Linked DNA regions of Arabidopsis thaliana. The protein of the gene in region 3 interacts with the protein of the main gene of each other region in a pairwise test. Each region holds a gene or a part of one and is shown on either strand. Other genes may lie near its edges.

The links. Proteins that work in one complex are often made in the same cells at the same time.
Region 1: the proteins of AT3G46600 (region 3) and LEP interact in a two-hybrid assay, tested with the Arabidopsis thaliana proteins (one large-scale study listed by BioGRID).
Region 2: the proteins of AT3G46600 (region 3) and AT5G26630 interact in a two-hybrid assay, tested with the Arabidopsis thaliana proteins (one large-scale study listed by BioGRID).

The regions. Positions count from the first base shown.
Region 1 is NC_003076.8:4,479,160-4,486,863, forward strand, and holds LEP (Integrase-type DNA-binding superfamily protein), read right to left. Parts: upstream 4,089-7,704; 5' UTR 3,927-4,088; coding exon 3,291-3,926; 3' UTR 2,969-3,290; downstream 1-2,968. Other genes in the region: AT5G13890 (plant viral-response family protein (DUF716)), read right to left, coding at 781-1,713; AT5G13900 (Bifunctional inhibitor/lipid-transfer protein/seed storage 2S albumin superfamily protein), read right to left, coding at 2,187-2,317, 2,393-2,717; AT5G13920 (GRF zinc finger / Zinc knuckle protein), read right to left, coding at 6,772-7,704. UniProt on the Arabidopsis thaliana protein: Cell division-promoting factor involved in leaf blade differentiation, inflorescence branching, as well as in carpel and silique shape. Promotes the number of xylem cells.
Region 2 is NC_003076.8:9,346,986-9,354,588, reverse strand, and holds AT5G26630 (MADS-box transcription factor family protein), read right to left. Parts: upstream 3,778-7,603; 5' UTR 3,775-3,777; coding exon 3,118-3,774; 3' UTR 2,969-3,117; downstream 1-2,968. Other genes in the region: AT5G26640 (anaphase-promoting complex subunit 11 RING-H2 finger protein), read left to right, coding at 6,415-6,548, 6,694-6,748.
Region 3 is NC_003074.8:17,154,815-17,163,445, reverse strand, and holds AT3G46600 (GRAS family transcription factor), read right to left. Parts: upstream 5,523-8,631; 5' UTR 5,399-5,522; coding exon 3,647-5,398; 3' UTR 3,481-3,646; downstream 1-3,480. Other genes in the region: AT3G46610 (Pentatricopeptide repeat (PPR-like) superfamily protein), read left to right, coding at 1,225-3,222; TRFL1 (TRF-like 1), read right to left, coding at 7,500-7,673, 7,744-7,807, 7,875-8,168, 8,256-8,452, 8,536-8,615. UniProt on the Arabidopsis thaliana protein: Probable transcription factor involved in plant development.

The sequences.
Region 1 (7,704 bases), on a different chromosome or scaffold from region 3:
AATGCAAATCTCACTGTTAGTTTAGTTTTGAGTTAATAATCAATCAACATCTACCTCAACAAACAAATCAAACCTATTGTTAGCATTATAACATGTATCTTTTCAAGTAATTAACAAGAGTACCAAAGTCTGTAACATCTTAAATTGCAACCAATGTTTGAATTCATTTCAACATATCTTTGTTTTTTCGTTAAAGCTAACTCAGACTGCGGTGAAAGACAAAGAAGATGATAAGGATAAAGTGGTTGCGACGAAATGAAAGAAGGATGTGATAACATGGCAAGCCTTTAGCTTAGGCAGTCCCATGTCAAAGAAGGTAGATGAGAAACATACCTTGGGTTCCTCTTCTTTTCCTTATTTGACATGAGATTGCCAAGCTATAAGGCTTGTGTTAATACTTTTTCATATTCTCTTGTGCAATCTGAAAGTTTTATCTTCATCCATATCATCATCTTTGTCTTTCACCACCACAGGGCAGGCTGAGTTTGTGATAACCAAGACAAACTTATAAATGTAACATGATGGAAACAACATTTCCAGAAACCAAATGGAACATAAACATCAGCTAAAGTGACAATTAACCATGCTATTCTCAATCAACAAGGACTATACCATCATTCTTCTATTAAGCAAGTCATCACCATCTTTCATCTATACGAGGATTGAACATTATATATTGAACAAACAAAATGGGATAAAGACTTGTCAAAGCAGCAACAAGTTCCAAAAGAGTGACTGAGAGCTTACAAAAAAGGCAAAGCGATAGGATTTGATAAGGTTTCAAGCCTGAGTGCCTGTCAACGACTTCATCTGAATGTGATTAGAATCAGCATTGTTAGTCGGCAAAGCTTCATAAGAACCAGTTCTTCTCACTCCGGCCGCCATCACCACCATCGTGTAAGTCACAAAGATGAGGATAACCACAAGCACGACGTGTACAGTGAACATTAGATCCAATATAGAAACAGCTCTTAGCTTAGAGTCCTGAATATCACATTGGGTTGATCCTTCAACACCGCTTTGAACATCAAGAAGACGATGACATCCCTCAGGAATAAACCCATCAACGTAGAGAGAGAGTCCAGTCTGAAGCTGCCAGAGACCTTGAAGACAAATGGCAGCAGCGAGAGCAGCGTCAGCAATAAAGAGTCTTGAACGGCAAGCGAGAAGCAAACAGAGGAGAGAGCATAACGCGGAGATACGAGCAGAGAGGGAATCACAATGAGCTTGAAGATCAGATGTTTGAATTGCAGCTGATGAAGACGCGGCGGAGTAATGGAGGAAGAAACCAACGGAGGCGAGTGCGAAGAGGAGATCGGAAGGGAGAGGGATTAACGAGGTTGAATCGGAGAGGAGATAGTAAATGGCGATGATGAGGAAGAGGAAGAACACGGCGGCGGAATTGAGAGATGAGAATCGGTGAACAGGAGTACTTCCTTTGACGAGAGGATCGGAGTAGAAGGAGATTAGGGTTTCGTGAAGGAAAGCGACGAATAGAGAGAGTATGAGGATGAACAGTGGTAGATTTTGGAGGCGGTTGTGATTGTGGTGGTTGTTTCCGGTGACGGAGGAGAGACGTGGAAAAGGGTAAAAGGGTTTCGCGGCGTAGGATTGGGGAGATTTAAGGAGATGGAAGAAAGTGCAGATGAGATGATACAATCCTAGGGTTAGTAGTGACGCTGAAGCGAAGAGCTTGTACATCATCTCTCCCATTTTCGAAGCTTGATTTTAGGGTTTTGTTGTTGTTGGTCGGGATTTGTATGACTGATAAACTTTCTCCGATCTGCTTAAGAGAGGTAATAGAGAGGACGATCTGGTCAACTGCTCCTTTAAGTTGACCGGTTAGTATTGTTAAACCAGCTGACTTTTTCGGTTATTTGACAATTAATTGCACTATTTAAACCGGTTTTATAATGGATTTTCCCGGTAGTTGGTAATTCAATATTGTATTTGTCAGGAAGAGATTGATTGGTGCTTGATTTGTTGCAACATGACTACATGAGCATGATGTTTCACATTCTTAACTAATAGAAATGGATTTAGACTATTTATGGGGACGAAGTGGTACATACAATGTGTTGGTGACGACCAATAATCATAATTAACTAATAGAGCATTAAAAAAACAAAGAATCAACCGTCTTAATTAAGCAAAGCAAAGCAAAGCTGCTATAGACAATGAGAGATTCAGCTAATTATGTGATGGCAATATGACAAAACAGTGGCTGCAATAGCTAATGTTGTCATCCAATAGGACTGAGAAAAGGTGTTGCCAATGGAGGAACTTCGGTCTGAGTTTGTAGATCCTCCTCTAGAACCTGCAAGAACACAAAATATTCATGAAACATCTTTTGATTGAAAAAAAAAGAAAGAACTAAGGTTTGAGTGTGTACGAGTCAAGCAAGCAATGGGATTGACATGTTCTCCACATCGAGCAGGCAACATTTGAGCATCATTGACATCGATGCCAGCTCGCTCGGCTTGAGAACTCCAACGGTTACTAATCATACGGCACAAGCACTCTGGATTGTTCCTTATCACTGATTTGAGAGGATTACAACAAACTTGAGGTACTTCCTTGGTCCCATTCAGGTAATTTAGGCATGGAGCAAGTTGGTTTAGACACGAAACGCTCTGCCCATTTATCCGCATCCCCGAGCTAGCTGCAACTAGAAGAAGTACAACGTAAAAAGAGAAAAACTTCATCCCCATCATCATATCACCTTAGTTTACTATTTTGAGTGTTACTAAAACACTTTTGTACTTGTTTAATTTTTATGTTTGGTGACCAGCTTTTAAGATAGGTAGACATGGTTCACCAGTCAAACCTACTACCACCGTTTGACCATCCTCAACAGGTAAGTTACCAGAAGAACCCATCAAATATGAAATAATTTTACATTACGTAAGCAAATACCAAAACCACAGAAGTAGAATAACAAATTGTTATTCCATCCTAGAATATAGTTCTCGTTCAACCATAAGAAAAACACACAGAGGTTTGGGCTATACAAAGTATGTCATGCCAACTAATAACCCATCGAATAATGGGCTTTTGATGTCCAAGGCCCATATATATTAAATATGTATTTGAAAGTAACACAAGAGCAGTTTCTTGTTTTCATTAATCAAGATACAAATGATAACTTGTTATTGAAAAACTAATGACAAACAGTCACTTTGATCACATAGGCAGAGATCAAGGACGGCGAAACATAGATAAACCCAAAAAAGAAGAAGAAGGAAAAGGTACAAATGAGGAAGGTATTAAATATGGACGATGAGAAAGAATTAGGAGCCAAAGTAGTTGAAACCTTGAGGGAAAGAGTCAGAAACCGGAGGCATTCTGCTGAACATTGGACTATGTACGTACTCAGACGAGTAGTCGTCACCGGTCCAGGTCCACTGTGGTTGGCTATAACACGAATTCGACAAGTCGCTCGGGAGAGGAGGCAGCTCATTACTACTGTCATTAGAATAGCAATAAGAATTCGAAGATTGAGAGCCACCAAACATGTAACTGTCCACTTGATCACAATGAGGCTGAAGCATTGGCGAGTCAGTGGATGAGTATTGGTTAAACATCATCATGTAATCGACAGGATCATTGCTAGGAGGAGCAGGAGGAGGTGGAGGAGGAGGAGGATCGTCAGGAGAAACAATGGAGGTGACGGATGAGGAAGGAGGCATGTCTGAGTAAACAAAGTTGGTTCTGGCACGTGTGCCACGCATGGACCGAGCAGCTCTATCGTAGGCCAAGGCAGCTTCTTCCGCCGTATCGAAAGTGCCAAGCCAGTGACGCTCCTTCGTAGTTGGGTCTCTAATCTCAGCTGCGTATCTTCCCCAAGGCCTTCTTCTCACCCCAAGAAACCTTGTACCAACCTGATCGTCTTGCTTCTTCTTGCTCTTTGATGATGTTGTGTTCATCTTTCTAATAATGATACTATACCTTTATGCATACACAGATCAATAAATGTCCGATATATCTATCTTTTTTCTAGTTGAAGGAAGAGAGGGAATGTGTGTTGGTCTTGGAAAAGTATCCCTTACCACAACCCTTTTATATAAGAGCTATACCTTTCCTTTTTCTCTCTCTTTTTTCATTGTGTATAATTCTTTTATATATCTTTTTATTCCAATTGAAACAACATTTAAAAATGGCTCTGTGTTGAGTTAATTGTGGCCCATGATATATCAATTATCAGTCAATCAAAAGTATATAATTATGATTAAGTTACCACTTGATAGCATGTTTCATGCATTTCTCAAGGTTGTTCTACACTAGTGATTTCATTTTTATACATGGTTAATTCTGCTAAAATATAATGCTGAGTTCCGACTGCCTTTAATCATACAAGTGCTAATATATCAACTCAATCAATTACAATAGTAATACATAAGAGCTTCTTTTTGTTAGGTGATGTATATATTAGAGAAGAGAGTGAAAGAATAACAAAGAAATTAGGATCATTATCAAAAATAACTTAAACAAATACAATCCGTTAGCATATTATATATAAATATCGATAGATACACATAATCATCATTCATCAACAATAATAAGCTGAAACAAAGGGATTAGGAATGATAAGAGCCATGATTAGCATGTTACCTTAGATACCAGTGTCCCGAGTCTAATAATAATAACATGTCCGAATTGATTAACAAATTAACGAGAGATAACGTAATAGATAAACTATTCAATTCAGAGAATATATTTGGTATAACGCGTCCAAATACTACTGCATGTGATGGTCCATATTGAATGATGGAATGTGCATGAACTGCGAATTTAACATGAAAAAGAGAAGCAAACCCTGATTATTGCATATATGAAAACGCAAACACTTTCCGTCTTATCAATCATACAACACATAAAAAAACAATGAGTTTGGTGTTTTGGTTAAAGTTAATAATTGGTAAAGAAGGGTGCAATGATGGCCGCATGATGGAAGGTAGTCGACTAAATTATGAGGAGGAAAGTCATTACTTAAGCAGCTATTATATCATTATATGTGTATTAATCTTGTATTACTAATACGTCAGAGTAGGGTTTTGACTTTTGACCAACACAAAATTAAAAGAGTTGAAGTCTCATGCATTAGAGAGAGATTATGATATTTGATATGAGTATCTAAGGAAGCAAGTGGTAGCCTTTCTAAGACGATCTTATTTTGTGTCAGAGGAAGACCAAAGACCATTTATGTTTATGTTTGGCTACACGACCAACGTTATGGACGGTGATAGTGGATCGTATCATTTCTTAATCTTTTATAATATATACGTCCCATTTGTCTACATGTACAATAATCACAATGTGTGTTAGCGTTAATTAATTAGAGATTAGTCAAAAACAATATAGGGGTAGTGCATGTGCTCCCAATTTTATAGGCTGCAACTTCAATGAATATTGCCACACCCTTTTTCTTTCATCTCCCACTTTCTAATCCCAAGGCATCTATCTATTTCCTTATAATTTAATCATTTATGTGTTTGTCCTCTTGGCTATGAATATGATATCGTCTCTTCCTAAATTCAGTTTCTCAAATTATATATATTCTGACCAAAATACTCCATTCATATTCATTTGCTATATACTATTTTAAAACAAACATGCATTATTGAGAACAAAGGAATTTGGGTTGCATGTGAGCAATCTTTTATGCTTTTGAAATTTTATCTTTAATCTTAATTTCATTGGAGTAAACAAGCCCTATAATTTATGTTCCCTCACTTTTGACCAACTCTCATTTTTCTCGTTTAATTTTATATTCTAAAGTCCAATCTTGATGCATTGAATCTTGTTTACATTTACGTTCCGCTTCTATTCTCTATCGCCTCTTATTATTCTCCGATATCCACAGACCACAGGTTTCTTTACTTAATTAGTACTACGTTCTCATGGTCTACGGTGGAATATTAGTACATGTAAGAACTATATAAAATGTATCAATGGACAAAATATTTATACGAATCCTACTTAATTAGGATTTAGGTCAAGAGCCCTAATTAAGCCCTCCCAGTCAGATCACCGCCTTTTTCACTACCATCACTACTCTTAAGTGACTTCGGCATTTGCAATACCATTCTCGAACGTTGTATGTAACGTCCTCGAACAACTGGAGATATACACAAGCTGACAAGTGAACACATGCATATCCCAATTCTTAACTATATCAGTTTTATGGAAATTGGAAGGATGTTTTGTTCTATGGTCCGAGTCTCAAATTGACGAAACTAGCAATTCTCTATAACTCATCTCGAACTATTCTTGATGCAAATAATTTGATGATCAATTATCTGAGGGTTTGGGCCTCTAATTGTGTTAGTTTAGTAGAAACTAGAAAGAAAAAAAAAGGGAAGAAAGAAGAGAAGGCATGTGCGCCCAACGTGGAAAGGCATTTTCTTGGACGCTTAACATAATTAATCCTTTTTCTAATTATTGCCTAACACAAACATCTTTTGTCTTACTTAAATCTAATTACTCTTTTAATCAAACGACCATGTGATGAGCGCACTAAGTAGATTCATAATTCTCAACCACATTCAAAAGTTAAAAACAAAGTATGTCTGCTTTTGGCTCATCTAAACCTGAAGGTGACATGGGAGAAAATTTAGGGGCACGAGCTTTGCAGTCACCTATCAATTAATCCATTAATCTAACTAGTCTATACACGTTATCCGATGAAGAAGTGTAAAATGTTGGAATTGCCGAGTTAAAATAAAAGATAATTACCTTCCAACACTTGCAAGGGCACTAATATGCAAATGCTCAGGTTCTTCTTCTCTTTAGACCAACAAACTCATTTTGCTTAAACACTTCTACTTCTTTTCCTAGTTTATCTGCAGTTTCCTGCATCCTCTTCTGAGACTCAGCCATTTCTCCAGCCACTTCCCTGCAACTTGCTCCAAATTTTAATGTCTCAGCTTCACAACAAACCATCTCCTTCTCTGTTTCAAGTAAAGTTTTCCTGAGATGACTAGTTTTCTCATGAAGTAACCTTAGTCGCCTGTACGAAGCCATAAATTCACTCAACATTTGTACATGTTTCCCTGAAATACTCTCCAATTGAAGCTTCTCTGAGTTGTACTGATCAATTAGGTTCTGCAAGCAAGGGAATGACCACTCAGCTCCATCAATTTCAGGTTGCTCATGGTTTGTCCTTCCATGTATCACAACAGAACCACTAGAGACCGTATCTCTGATCAAATCACTCATCGCTTCATCCACACTCAACTTAGAAAGAGCACTATTTGTTGGCTGATCACCATTCTGAGTCTTTTTCCATGGCTCTTCAGGTTCGCTCGTAACCGGATCAAACAGAGAGATACCTAGTAAATAGCATAAGAGTTCAAAGAACAAAAAAGTGTATTCCAAGCATAATACTTTAATAGAATCAAAATTGTCCATAAGTGAAGTACCTTGGTTCAGAGCAGTAGAGTGTACATCAGAAACAGACATTGAAATGGAATCCAAATTTTCTAATGTAGAATCATCCTCTGCACTAACAGAATCTTGACATTCTACTACACAATCATCCTCTATACCACTAACAGAAGCTTGACATTCTTTCTCTGATGCCATTTGGTTTGCAATTTCCGGTATAACACCACCACGAGCCTGTAAGCTACTCTCAACATCACTCAAAATTTGATCAGCTTCAACCCAAAAATCAATCTCATCCATAACATCACAACTAGGAAT
Region 2 (7,603 bases), on a different chromosome or scaffold from region 3:
TTGATTTTTACTGTTTGAAAATATTAGAACAATAACGTACAGTTGATTAAGTTAAAATCTAGATTATAACTAAATAATTTAAATTATATTTATTTTATTGATATTATTTGTTTTGTTTAGTATTTAAGATAATATAATTGTATTTTGATTATTATATGTAGGATTTCACCCGTGGTATACCGTCTCGTATTACTATCGATCCAAACCCGTCCTACCATCTAATCCCATTTAGTGAAACTAAACATATTTAATGGATTTCACTCGTGGTATATCGTCTCGTATTACTGTCGACCCAAACCCGTCCTACCATCTAACCCCGTTCAGTGAAATTAAACATTTTATTTCTGTTATTTTTATTTTAATAATACTTTAATTTAAAAGATACATAGTTCAGATTAATTTAAATACATCGACAAAATACAAGTTTTGGTCGCTCTTCAAACTTCTTGTTCATAAAAAAACTTGTGTGGTTAACAATCGGATTTGAATTCGTCATCGCCAGATCAGCATCATATCACGTCGGATTCATCTTCATCATCTCCACGTTAGAGTAGTTTCATCACCACCACCATAAGTAATCACTGGAGGTGTTCATCAATACGGCATCACCGTACGTCAATGTTCTTCAACGTAGAAAGAATAAGAAACAAAATTATTGATTTCTTATATATCAAGTAAAAATACATAATCACGTGGTAGAAATAGTTTCAGTATTATTCAAATCCAAAGGAGTGTTAAGATTAAAGTACCTTTGGCTCTAATCTTTCCTTACAATACCAAATTGATGACTTATTTAGTCAAAACAAGTAAGGTGATGAACTTTGTTTCTTTGACATATTGTTTCTTGTAAATAAGTTATTATTTATGTTTAGTTGACCTCAATTAGCTCAATGTTATTCAAATTTAATGGAGTGTTTAGTTTGATAACCGTTAGTTCAATTCGGAAAAATTAATTTAAAAAAGATGATAAGTGATTCAAAACGAATTAGTTGACGACTTTTAAAATATTTATATATATTTAATTTTAATTTTTCCAAAAAGAAAGATAGCACTTAATGAGTCTAGCCTTTTATTTATAAGAGTTATAGACCCAATCAAACTATAATTACTTTTGTTACACAAAACTTTGGGTATATTTTAGTGATTAAACTTTATATTTTGTAAAAATATAGTTTACCCTTACAAAATAAAATTATGTTTATATAAACTAACTATATTATCCTTAGTTAAATGGGAAGAGTAAAAAAACTCTCTACTTACGCGTTTTGGCGAGTAAATTCTTATTTAGGTTTACTTGACCTGAATTAGTTCAATTTAATTTAAACTTAAACCGTTGTCTCTAATTCAGAAAAATCAATTAAAAATGATGATTTAGTTGGTCAAAATGAATAAGTTGGTCACTTTTTAAAATGCTTATACATATATTTTCTAAAACATCTTATATTGTGAACCTAAATAAAATATGTAAAACATCCTTTAATATGAAACAAAGAGAGTATACTATTTTGACAAAGTAGGTTTACCATTCGTGATTCGACTATGATTATCATTTTTTAGATAGCAATTATGGAGTCTAGTAAAAAATTTTTTATAAAAAATATAATTACCCACTCAAACCAAGATTCTATTTTGGTTATGCAAACCTTTGGCTATTACTCATTAAACTTTATATTTTAGAATACAGTTGTCCCTATTATAACTTTAAAAATAAAACTATTTTTGTAGCAACTAACTATATTACCTTCGTCAAATGAGAAAAGGTAAAAAAAATCTCAACATACACATTTTGACCCATAATAATCACAACTTACACAATTTGGTCAGTAAAAATCTTAACTTACGCAATTTGGCGAAAACAAAATTTGAATATTTTTATTGCAAAAAATAGTTATCAACTTATTTGTTTTGGGAAATAAATTTTTATTTAGGTTTACTTTACCTCATTTAGTTCAATGTTATTCAAACTTTATGGGGTGTTAAGTTTGATTATGTTGGCTCTAATTTGGCAAAATCAATTATATGCATTTTGTCTATCAAAATCCCAACTTACGCAATTTGGCCGGTCCAACTTACACAATTTGGCGGTCCAACTTACGCAATTTGGCCTGTAAGAATTCTAACTTACGCAATTTGGCTAATACAAAATCTCAATATTTTTACTGCTAAAAATAGTTATCAACTTATTTGTTTTAGCGAATAAATTCTTATTTAGGTTTATTTTATCCCAATTTGTTCAATGTTAGTCAAACTTAATGTAGTGTTAAGTTTGATTACTGTTGGCCCTAATTTGGCAAAATCAATTATACGCATTCTAGCCTATCAAAATCCCAACTTACGGAATTTGGCATGTAAAAATCCTAACTTACGCAATTTGGCCAATACAAAATCTCAATATTTTTACTGCCAGAAATAGTTATCAACTTATTTTTTTTGGCGAATAAATTCTTATTTAGGTTTACTTTACCCCAATTTGTTCAATGTTATTCAAACTTAATGGAGTGTTAAGTTTATCAATGTTGGCCCTCATTTGGCAAAATCAATTATACGTATTCTGCCCAATAAAAATCTCAACTTACGCAATTTGGCTAGTAAAAATCCTAATTTAAAATCTGAATATTTTATTGCCAAACCTAGTTATCAACATATTGTTTTTGGCGAATAAATTCTTATTTAGGTTTACTTGACCTCAATTAGTTCAATGTTATTCAAACTTAATGGAGTGTTAAGTCTTAAATCACGACCTTTTATACAGAATTAAACCTCTTAAATCTTGAACGAGCTTGGTTGTCGAAAAGTGATGGATCTAAATTACAAATATTTGAGACTGGACACAATGGCTTGGTTTCCATTTGTGTTTATGTTCAGAGAATGCAATTCTTGTGCCATTACTGTATAGAAAACATGTTTTAAGAACTGATATGATGCATGCATTTATTCATAACGATTATATATAAGGAGAAAACATTAATTAACGAAAGAAAAATAAATTTCATTCATGAGAAAATACAACTACATGTGAAACCAACCCAAACATGTAACTTAAACAAACAGAACTAAAACAATAACTTTTTATTGATAGTTGAAATGACAACAACTTAAAATAAGATCAACGATGGCTCACCACTGTTTCTTGTTCAGATCCAAATCATTTGTGGTCTGTTTCATATTCAAAGTAATTTGAATTTGATCTCGAACCTTGTCGTAAAATCCAACCGAAGAAGAACCCATCTCAACCACAGGCATGACACTAGATGTTGTAGGGGCAGCAACAGGAACGAGGGCGGAAGATGGTTCATTGTTCCTTTTCAGAATCTCGATCCTACGATTAACATCTTTGAGTTGTTGTTCAATGACATAACCAAAATCTCGAAGCTCAGTTTTTTCGATACTAGAAACCAAAGTTTTGCCACTAAGACAATCAAACATAATGTTCTTCATCTCCAACTCTTTGTTCTCTTTCCGCAACTTCTTCCAAGACTCGGTTGCTTTGGTGATCCTCTGTTGGAGAAAGGTCTCTTGGTTCACCATCTTCTTGGTCTTGTCCATCACCGACATCGTCTTCCATTGGGACACCACCTGGTTCGCAGCCTCTCTCGATGGCCACACCTCCGGGTTCAGCTCGTACGGACTGTTGACGACAGCAAAGATCGGGACGCCACAAAGAATTCCCAACTCTTGAGCTTTCTTCAAAAGACCTTTCTTTCTTTTCTTGAATGTTGATTTTCTTGCTGTTTCATTTTCTATGAAAGTCATTTTCACTTTCTGTCTCGTCATGACTTTATTTTTTTGTGTGTTATACTTTTGAATGGAGAAGTGCTTTTTATATAGAAGATCTGATTGTTGGAATTAAGCAAAATTTATCTCAGTTCAACCATATATATATCATACCTTTTTAGGGATATCAAAATTGGTAATACGATAATGGAAAGAAATATATATATGTTTAGAAGTAAATTTTTTTTTCAATTTTTTATTTTTTACTTAGGAATTAAGGAGTCTACTAATCTAGTTACAAGTTTTTTAGTTTGTTTGTGAAAAGTATAGTTACACTTTAACTGAATAATTGTCCTTGTTAACTTTTGGGTATAGTTACTTCTTAATACCAAAATTTTGCATAACAAGAACTGACACTTGTTCAAAAAGACTTATAGACTTATAGTCTTATAGTGCTGAGTTTTTAAAATAGTTTTTATCCATGACCAGTTGACCGAACGACTATTCTTTATCTGGTTCATAAAATATTTTTTAAAATAATTGTTATTACTAATAATTATCCAAACATATCTTATGTGGAAAACATTTACTTTACAAATATTTTTATCATTATTTTTTCTGAAATGTTATATGTATGGAAAACATATCTACATATAATAAAGATAAATATTACATAGTTTGAACATACATAGAATATATATCTAGATGATTTTACTTTATATTGTGGTGGGTAATCTTGACTGAAAAATCATTTTCATAAAGATTTTTTAAGTTTTTTTTGCAAACAAAGTATAACAAAAAAGGTCAAGAATCAATTAAAAAAATGTTTTTAAAGGGTAACTACGGAAGTAATTTAAAAAAAAAACATTCTTAAGAGGATATTACTCCTTCCGTATTAGTTTAGGTTTCGTTCTAGCATTAAAATTTTGTTTGATAATATTTATCGGTTTAGATTTTTAATGTAGATGTTTGGTAAAAATTCCAATTATATTCTTATTGTTTTTATGTCATTACCAATAAAAAAAATATTAAACAAGGGTAAAATAAAAAAAAATTGATTTTTTAATTTCTGTAAAAACACCATAAACGAAAACTATTTCAAAACAGAGGGAGTATTAGTTTGTGTATGTTAATTAATTTGGAAATCTATATTATTACCTTTTGCCAAAGATTTTGAAATCTATATAAAATTTAAAATGCCATGAAATTTTCAAAATCTAACATGTGGATTTGAACTAGCATTTATAAACCATTCAAAATAATTAGATTCGCCCACATATTTAATCTTTGTATTTGTAACTAGGTTTTGTACCCACGCTATACGTGTGTATTTTTGATATATTTCGGTAAGAAATACATACAATTAATTATATTTTTTAAATCGAAGTAAAAATTCAATTTTATTTCAAATACACTATATTAAAATTATAAAAATCAGTAGTGTTTAAGAATCGAATTTATTTGAAAGAATCATAAATCAATTTTATTTTTTCATATTCAATTGAATGTCAACACATATGTCTTTGTATTTCTCTTCACATTCGTTGTTTCTTACTTTTCATATTCATTCTTGTCATCTTAATTATTAATTTTCTTTTAGCCGTTGTCATCATTACTTTCTCGTTCACTTCTTCGTTATAGTCTTCATCTTCATCTTCCTCGTTATTTTCTCACTTTCTTCCTCATCCTCTCTCTATATTATTCTATGTAAAATATTCGTTATTATGTGGTTAAAAAACAGAACGAGAAATTTAAACTTAGTAACTTTAACCAAACATAGTTCAATAAGCTTACGAATTAACTCCTAAAACGACTTAGTTCATTTCACCATCTGAACCAAAATTTGATCCCTTAGTTCTCGTCTCCCGAACATGCTATCAAATTTCAGATTATTCCGAGTACGTTGGATTTTTGTTTGTTGTCTCCACATATTTGTTTAGATCTAAAACTTTAAAAGAAATCTTCTTGAACCTGTTGAAGAAGTTGTTTAAATCTATATTCCACTATTCAACCTTAGGAGCCCAATAAACAAATTGTGAGGGTTTAGCCACTTAGCCCAAAACGGACAATATCATATTAATGTGGAAGTTAGATTGGACTTGGAAAGCCCAAGAGTATTTTGGTTAGTGATGTTGATGACTTTCTAGTAGTTTCTTATGAGGATTCTTCTTATCAACTCTCAACTGATTCATATAGGGCAGAATAAGATCAGTTGATCAATGCGCCTGCAATTAGTATTTGTTTTTTCAAACACAGGTTTTTCATGGACTCTCAGTGTTACAATGTTTTCAAACTCAAAAACAGAGTAAATTCATTGACTCTCAGTATTACATGCAATTTTAATTTATGTAAGACCATTCAAGGGAATTAAAAGCTAAACACAAATCCAAAACAAATCTAATGTGTGTTATTGTAAGCCTATGTGTGTTAGGGTTTCTTTGGAAAGTGATATAAATAGGATTGTTATGTGTCTAAAAGATGTAAACAACTCTCGTTCATCCATTTTATGAAATATTAACCACAATCTCTTTGTTTTGGTGACAATCTAAGTTATTTTCCCTCTTTTTATATTTTTGCACAATAAAGCTCTAATGAACTATTTCAAATTATAGCATTTTGACTATTTTCTATTTCAATAATCCTTTGTTGGATTCTCTTACGGTTCATACACCAAAACTATTACATTGTGAGAAACTTTAGATGGCATGGGGTACATGGGATGCTCAAGATGAGACATGTGGGTTATGTCGGATGCCATTTGATGCTTCTTGTCCTGACTGCAAACTCCCTGAGGATGATTGCCCTCTAAGTAAACTCCTCGGGGATTATTGCCTGTTAGATTAGATATATGAGAATCTTATATTTGTATATATCTAATATCTTATGAACAGATTTATGCTTATCTCATGTAACCCTATATATATATGTTCAATACATAACTTTCCATTCACGGAGATTCATACAATTACATGGTATCAGAGCTATGGCCATTGCCCTATGTGTCGTAGAAGATGGAAATATAAAGAGTAACTAGAGTGGGAAGAGAGAGATTTTATATTGCGCCTTGATTAGACATCTAGCTTTGTATCCACTTTATAGAGATGTAATAAATCATTAATCAGAGTTAAGTTCGACCTTTGTATGAATATTAATGGAAGCAACTACAAATAGCAACAAAAATGTAATAGAGATTTTGGTTCATGACATGTGGCTAAAGAAAAGAAAGATAATTTGTTTCATGGATATATTGTTCTTTTTAATATTTAGCACCCAATTTCAATTTTTTTCGTTTTAACATCCGACTAATTTTGAGAATATACATGCTCCTTTTAAGAAAAATTAGTGAATCTATAACAGTAAAAAATTAGAAATTAATAAAGCTTAACCTCTATAAATTAATAATATCGAAATTATGATATTTCAATATTTATACAGTTATTAATTTATTAATTAAATGATCTTAAACACTTATTAGGGATCAAAGATTTTAATCTATCGAGTATTAATTTATATAATTATTACTACACCCAAATAACCAAGTGCCGCATGCTTAGAGTTTACATACTGTAAAAATAAAATCTTGAGTTGTACCAAATTTATATAATTAGTTCTTAATTTAACGTAGCCATTTGAGTTTCGGCCCAAGTGGTCAGAGGAAAGGTGTGATAGTTAACTTTACCAAATTATTATTTTTGGATATTATGAGGTGTTTTGGGCCTTAATCACTTGGCTAATCTCTTTAGGGTGAGTGTAGGATCGATTAGCCCACTCACCGAGTTTTTTAATGAGTACTTAAATCACGCTCCTCTCCCTTACCTCTGCCATATCTTTTAGAGAGGGAAAGCTTCTTTTTATGACATTGATCAGATTGTAAAATAGATTTCTTTGT
Region 3 (8,631 bases):
AAGACATGTATATAAAGAGACAATAAATTTTGGGACCAATGACAAATACCTAAAGAACATTTAATGTTTTATGAAAGAAAAAAAAAACACTTTGGACCAATTTCATATCCACATGTGAGCATGTGAGTTCTTACAAGACATGGCCTATGAAGACTTCTCAGTTCCCACTACTCACATTCATCTTAGTACACCTATCACTGTCCATTCAACTATATGAAAACTTAGTTTTACGAAAAGTATTACAATTTCTGTTTTAGTTAAAGATATATATTGGAAAACCCAAAAAGAAAAACTAAAGAGAATGGACTACTTTGCACACGATGCACGACCAGAGATAGTTTTCTTTTCCTATATTATTGAAGATTTTTTAATATCTCAACGTTTATTCAAATTTGAGACATGATGTTAAGTAAGTTAACAGAGCATGTTAACAAAGTTAATTTTCTTTTAACAGACCTGTGAATTGAAAACGATAGCATTTCCTCTCACAATAAACAACATCGTTTTGTCGTAATTGTTCAATAAAATCCCGAGTGTCAAATTATATGAAAATTTAGGATCATGGATTTTGCTCGATTTAGAGATATAAGATTGAATTTAAGGATTTCGTTCATCCGTTACGACAAAAAGACGTCATTTTGTTATTATAGAAAACAATGTCGTTTTCAGTTAACATGTATATTGACAAAAAATTAACTTCGTTAACGGGATATGTTAACCTATTTAACCAACGAAAGTTTGTTATTTTTGAAAAATAGAAGTTTGATATTTATTTCGTTTCATCGAGAGTTAAAGATCCAAATCAACTTTTTCAATAAGTTGGGGATTTTAATTACATTTTTCATTTCTAAAAAACAATTAATTTAGCAATTTTTTAATTTGTAGAAAAGGCTTTTTAAATCTCATGCTTAATTGAGGCCCATAAGCCCAATAGTATTTTATTTTCAGTTTTCACATAAAGAAAAGAAGACAAAAATTCTATCTTCTTCTTCGCGGCTCTGAATCCGCCATTGAAGTTATTTTCAAGCCCTCCTCAATTTTCGTTTTTGTTCAATATTAATTTGTAAGAGATCTTTACGCTTCAGTTTCTGAAAGAACTTTGCGCTTCTGATTTTGCAAAATTGGAAGAGAGTGCTTCCGTTGCGCTTTTGAAGCGTGAAATCGTGTGTCTTTTGACGCTTCCATGCTACATAACGCTAGTTGTGAGATTGTGTTTGGAAAAAGATGCAAGCTTTAAGCATTTTGCCATTAAAGTCTGGTCTTTTAGTTGGATCAAGATTGGAATTTGAGTTGGATTGTTCTTGTTTTGTAGTTAGCCCTAAGACTACTAGAAAGAGACTTTGCTTTCTTGAACAGGCTTGCTTCGGTAGTAGTAGTAGTATCTCTAGCTTCATCTTCGTTTCGAGTAACAGGAAAGTTCTGTTTTTGTGTGAGCCAAAGAGAAGTTTGTTGGGATCATCGTTTGGGGTAGGATGGGCCACTGAGCAACGAGAGCTCGAGCTCGGGGAAGAAGAAGTTTCCACGGAAGATTTAAGTTCAGCAAATGGAGGAGAAAAGAACAATTTAAGAGTTGATGTTAGAGAATTAGCGTTTAGTTTACGAGCTGCTAAGACAGCTGATGATGTGGATGCTGTTCTCAAGGACAAGGGAGAGTTGCCTCTGCAAGTCTTTTGTGCTATGATAAAGGGTTTTGGCAAGGACAAGAGATTGAAGCCTGCGGTAGCTGTAGTAGATTGGCTTAAGAGGAAGAAGAGTGAATCAGGCGGTGTCATAGGTCCAAATCTTTTTATATATAACAGCCTTTTGGGTGCTATGAGAGGGTTTGGGGAAGCAGAGAAGATACTGAAAGATATGGAGGAAGAAGGGATTGTTCCAAACATTGTTACTTACAATACTTTGATGGTTATTTACATGGAGGAAGGTGAGTTTCTCAAGGCTCTTGGGATTCTTGATTTAACCAAGGAAAAGGGTTTTGAGCCTAACCCGATTACATATTCAACGGCTTTGCTTGTTTACAGAAGAATGGAAGACGGTATGGGAGCTTTAGAGTTCTTTGTTGAATTGAGAGAGAAATACGCAAAGAGGGAAATAGGGAATGATGTTGGTTACGATTGGGAATTTGAGTTTGTTAAGCTTGAGAACTTTATTGGTAGAATATGCTACCAAGTGATGAGGCGGTGGTTGGTGAAAGATGATAATTGGACTACTAGAGTGTTGAAGCTTTTGAATGCAATGGACAGTGCAGGGGTTAGACCGAGTAGGGAAGAGCACGAGAGGCTTATATGGGCATGTACTCGTGAAGAGCATTATATTGTTGGTAAAGAGTTGTATAAAAGAATCAGAGAGAGGTTTTCTGAGATAAGTCTGTCTGTTTGCAACCATTTGATTTGGCTGATGGGTAAGGCTAAGAAATGGTGGGCAGCGTTGGAGATCTACGAGGATCTTCTTGACGAAGGACCTGAACCTAACAATTTGTCTTATGAGTTAGTGGTCTCTCATTTCAATATCTTGCTGAGTGCAGCTAGCAAGAGAGGGATATGGAGATGGGGAGTTAGGTTACTTAACAAAATGGAAGATAAAGGATTGAAACCGCAGAGGAGACATTGGAACGCGGTTCTTGTAGCATGTTCAAAAGCCTCTGAGACCACAGCTGCGATCCAAATCTTTAAAGCAATGGTTGACAATGGTGAAAAGCCAACGGTCATCTCATACGGTGCACTACTCAGTGCTCTTGAGAAAGGGAAGCTATATGATGAGGCGTTTCGGGTTTGGAACCATATGATTAAGGTAGGGATTGAGCCAAATCTTTACGCGTACACAACAATGGCTTCAGTTTTGACAGGACAGCAAAAGTTCAATCTTTTGGATACCCTTCTCAAGGAAATGGCTTCAAAGGGTATTGAACCGAGCGTTGTGACTTTCAACGCGGTTATAAGTGGTTGCGCGAGGAACGGGTTAAGTGGTGTGGCTTATGAGTGGTTTCATAGAATGAAAAGTGAGAATGTTGAGCCTAACGAGATAACTTACGAGATGTTGATTGAGGCTCTTGCAAATGATGCAAAGCCAAGGCTTGCTTATGAGTTACATGTGAAGGCTCAAAACGAAGGGCTTAAACTCTCTTCTAAGCCATATGATGCGGTTGTTAAATCAGCTGAGACTTATGGAGCCACCATTGATCTTAATCTTTTGGGTCCTCGACCAGACAAAAAGAATAGACCTTAGTCTGACGAAAACACATTGTACAAGGTTACCGTGGGGTAAGGCGCATCCAAGGACCCTTAAAGGCAAGAAAATTGCCATTACAGGGAAGAAGAAAGTTTCCAAGTAATCACTTTCTTGTTCTTTAATACTCTTTTTAGTTTGTCTAGTCTCTCTGTTTATATTGTGAATTTTTATCTTCGTACAACATCTGTATTATCATCAGACACATTGATATGCAAACTGGTTTGTTCAGTTCAAAGTTATGGATCTTTTTGAAATAAGTTTTGAATTCTTGGTTTGCCATATGTACTTGCAAGAAAGTAGAGAGAAAGAGAGAGACTCATTCAATATATATGAGAGCAAACAGTTTCTACAACACTTTGAAACCAAAAACAAAGAAATGGAAAGCTAGCAAAATTATGCAAATGATTACAGAACTGTTTTATTACTTCTTAGCAGGTTTCCAGCAAGAAACAGCATAAAGGACTCTTCCTTTCCAGCCCTGAAACATCCAGTGGTTATCATTGTCGATCACAAAATCTTTGTGGTAACGTTCTTTCACTATCTCTTTCCCGTCCTTTACTATCTGTTTGCTTAGTTTCGCTGGTCTAAATCCTGCTCTTAGAATCCTAACCTGCCATTGCTTGTAGGTCTCTGGCCTTGCAAACCGCTCAGACCCTTCACAGGCTATCACACTCATTGCATCTCTTATGATTAGTTCCCTCTCCACCAGTGTCCTGCAATTGTCGTCTTCTGATAATGTGGTCTCATACATGTCAAAGAGTGACGAGCAATGGAAGAGAGCTTCTCTGAACCTTGTTAGGAAGAAGGGTGAATTGTAAGTCCCGTTAATCTCTGCAAACACAAAGAGGTCAGGGTTGATGTCTCTGAATAGTTTCAGAGCCGTGTCTCTCGGTGAGTTGAGGGACACGGTTTCATCAGGTGTATATTGTAGCCGGAGGATGCAGTTGACAACTGTTGTCTCGCCACTATTGATCACCAGATCATCAAGAGTTATGTTCTCCCAATTCTTGGCTATGAAACTGTACTCAAACGGGACATTGAACTTGTCACAGAACCTCTTTAGTCTTCGCCCGGTCTCTTCTACCCGCTCTGATGGACGGAAACCTGACTGAGGAAGCTCGATACCAGTCACACGGAGCAGTGGTGGTCCGATGTCACGTTTTGACAAAGCTTGTATCAGACAAGGCCATTGAAATCCATAGAGAATCCCAAAATCAATGATGTGAAGTGTGGTTGCTTTGGAAGCAAGCTCATTGATTGTTCTGTTTGCAGTGAAATAACACATTATTAAGGTGGGGCAAGCCTGAACAAATCCCTTGTACGCCTTCAAAATGTCCACCATTGATGTTCTGCTAGAAGTAGCAGATATTGGTGTAGTCATGGTTCCTGTAATACGAGCTTCAAGCGCCTCAGCAAAGTGATAACCAAGTCTTTGAGTCGCATCACCGTGGCGAGAAGAGTGTTCTCTTATCTCCTTCAGTTTCTCAAAAGCTCTTCTCTGGTCAAAACTCGCCACAGCTTGCGCGCATTGCATCAAAAGATTCCTCATATCTACTGGCTGATCTGACTTTTGCTGCTTGTATCGATTCGATGAGCCTTTTACGTGTCTTGTTTTCTTCTCTGTTGCTTCTCCCTGATCATTCTTTTGACATACCAACAACACTTCCTCAAACTTCTCTGCTAACTCATCCACCGTAGAAATCGCAGGGAGCTTCGATTTCCTTCCACTCTCAAGATCATCATCTTCATCATCATCCCTATGTCGATACCTTCTGGTTGACTCCTCTGAAACTTCAGGTTGATGCAAACTCGTTATAGAACTGAAGTTTCCAAGAGAACCATCCTCTAGATCACCCGAGATTGGAGTTTGATCTTGAAGCACTTCGAAGAAAGATCTCTCTGCGGCTTGTAAAGCCAAACTGTCTTCCAACATACAAGACTGACCTTCAAGATCTTCTTCCATCAACATGTCATTGATGTACTTAAAGACAGGAAGGTAATCTGAACATACCTTAGACTCGGTCGGAGAAGGGTTGCTCTGAGATTCAGATTCGTTGAAACAAGTGAAACGATTGGTCGTCCCAGATTCAAGATTGTTCCTCGGTTTGCAACAAGATCCAGAACCGGTGTCGAATCTGAACCCATCAACGGGTACTGGCAAAATAGCATCCATGAAACAGAATCTCTCTAGAATGAAGATTGAAACAAGAGTACTTTAGTAAGTCAACGAAAAGAGGAAATGAAAGAGAGTAGTGAGAAGTTTCATGTGAACACAAGTTGCGAGATGTTGTTGATATAAACAAAGGATAGGGTTGATATTTGTCTTATTTAATCTTTGTCTTGGCAAAGAAGAAAAATGAAGTTTCGAGGAAACAGAGAATGTGTGGGGTTGAAGATAAACACTAAGCCGCCACAAAAGGTTAGTAATAATATGTCCAAGACTTTATCTACTGTCGTGGGTCCAAATGGCTAAAAAGCTATTTGTTTTCTTGTTGTTGTCTTCCTTTTGGTCACTTGTCTGGTCAAATATTTGACTTATTAGTTATTACCTTGAATATATTTTCTAAATGTATTTAGAAATTTAGACTTTTTCTTTTTGTATAACGAAATATAAAACTTCGAAGTAAATTAAGTTTGTTTTGGTTCAGTTTTTTTTTCTACAAGACACAAGCAAATTTCAGTTTTTAAATAATAATATAGTAAATTTTATAATTTACTACAATATATTTGTTTGATAATTTATTTTGCATATAATACGCGTAAACTATTTAGTAGTCTGTTACCACATCACCAAAATTCCAAAAAAAAAACAAGATGTAAATCTTAATTGTATAACCTGTCCCTTGATTTTTTTTTTTTTTTTAAGTAGTGATTTTTAAAATTTAATGATTATTTATTATATATAAAAGTTTGAAAATTATACAATTCTCTAAGACATTAATATTTTATAATTTACAATTTTTATATAGTAACATTATACCATGAGACATTTTGGTTTTATATATATTTTTTTAAATCAGACTGATTTGATATGTATAATATTAGTGGTGTTAAAAAAAAGATTTAATATGTATTGAAACGGCAGATTAATGATATTTTAATTTGTTATTAATGTAGATTCAAAAATCCGTTCCGCAAAACCCATTCCAACAAAAACCCAGTTATTTTATTATTGTAAATATTCATTATATGATATGATTCTGAATCATTGTCTAAATATTTTAGTCAATGTGGAACATTAAACATACACATTATTTTGTCAATTGGGTAATACGTGTCCGTGTTTAAAATTAAAAATCACAATATATGTATAAAAAAAAATTGTTTTTTGATTTTATTTTATGTATTATATGACGATTTAAAACAAAATCAAATAAAAAGCATAATTTTAAATATTAATTAAATCTTCTAAATATATATAATATGGTGTATATTAGTTAAGAATCATAATTTTCTTGCTGCGTCAAGTTGCTAAATATATTAGTTTTAAATCGGTAAATATATCAGTCATCATAACTTCTAATAAATTGAACGTTATCCTCTATTATCTCGTCCAGGTCCAAATGTAAACTTCAATATCCTTTTGATTTTATTGCTAATTGCTTTAAATTTTTTCACAAACTCCAATATTCAATGAAAGGCAACAGTTCAGTGAAAAAAAAAAAAAAAAAAGTGGGAAGAGCTTGCCTACTCAATGCTATCTGCAAATATTTGCGAACTTTAGTTCAACATCGACTTCTTTACTGGTTAGAGATCCAGGATTTTGTGCCTTTGTTTGTGGCTATAGCCTTTAAAAGAGGCTTTGAGACCAGCTTATTACTCTGAACGACCCGTATTTAAGGTAAATACCATAGCACACATACCACTCACAAGCACAAGCTTCTGTGTATTCTTTCCTAATATAGGACACATGTGAACCATAAACTGACCAAACATAGACCAGCTTGAGTAACAATTTATCCAACAATTGAATTCTCCAGCACTCCTAGAGTTTGGATGAGGTATATATATATCAGTTCGTTGTCGTTGTGATATGATAGGCCGAGCCATAAATCATATAGACAGAATAAAAATGTCACCAAAGATTTACAACAAATCCTTTACATTGTTAGAAAAAACCCAACCTTATTTCCAATTATAAAACTTTACATTTGAAAGAAAGAAAAAAAAAAACAAAGAAGAACTGAGACCAGATCTTCAACTATGTCAGAATCTTACAATATGGATCATCATAATAATACACAAAGGTTCTTTAGACCAAGAACCTGTTCAGATTAGAGAGCCTCTACCTGAGTGGATGGTGGCTCAGTCTGCAGTTGATGCATTAGGTGTTGTGACCAGTAAGCGTGTGCCTTCAAAACACGGTCCAGAAGTTCCTGTGGCACCGGCTCTCCTCTCCGCTGTTGTGGAGATATCCTTGCCGTGTGGACCAGCGTCTTCCACTTATCCTACAAAGGCAAAGACTCAATACCAAACTGTATATATTAAGGTTAAGAGTTAGTTAAAAAACTAACTAACCTTGAGATCAACATAGGTACGATGGTCTGCGTCCTCGAAAGCACGAACCTTCACATCTCTCCACCTGTAGTTTTCAAACACATTTTGTCAGCAACATGAAGAAGAGAAAGTGCTATTTCTTTGTTTTGTACCTTCCGGTTCCGAGTTTCTCAACGGCTTGGACCAGTGCTTCTACTTCAGTAACTGAGAAAGGTCGACGAATTCTGCGTTGTGCAGCTAGCTGCTGCTCAGTCCTTTTAAACTTACGGTTAGGAGGCCGAGGAGCCAGCATTGCTGCTGAGGCAACAGGAATCAAAGCTCTAGAATGATCACTTGTGCCTAGTTTCCCAAATGAGTCAGCTGGGGATGGTTCTGGCTCATGACTAGAATCCAACGCATTGTCGTGGCATAACGTCACATCATCACAGGCATGATCTGACAGATAACTGGCAGAGAGAAAACAAGGCCCTTAAGCCGCAAAAGATTGATTTTTTATCGATGTGGCATCTCTGAGAGTGAAGAGAAGAGTGAACCTGGATAACAGTGGTTGAGGGGTGGTCTCTAAGCTAGGTTCAAGGCTGAAACCAAGAGAATCCAAGTGGTTGTTCTCCTCAGAGATCCCAGTCTGAAGAAGAGTTTTGCCATCATCTCGGACTTTCTTTCCTTGAACCATCAGCCCGACTCGAAGTCCATCACCCAGTATGGTGGTCACTGCTTCCATCACCATCCGCTGACAACCCCGACATTACAAAAATACAAATATAAGTTCTTCTTGATCAGGATTTTCAGCACAACTAGGTTTTGTTATTACACCTTCAAGGAGCCAACAGTAGCAGTTTCTGGAATCTCTACGAAAAGCTCAGGCACCCTAAAAGACTTGATCCGCAGCTTCACTAAAGAGTAACAAAA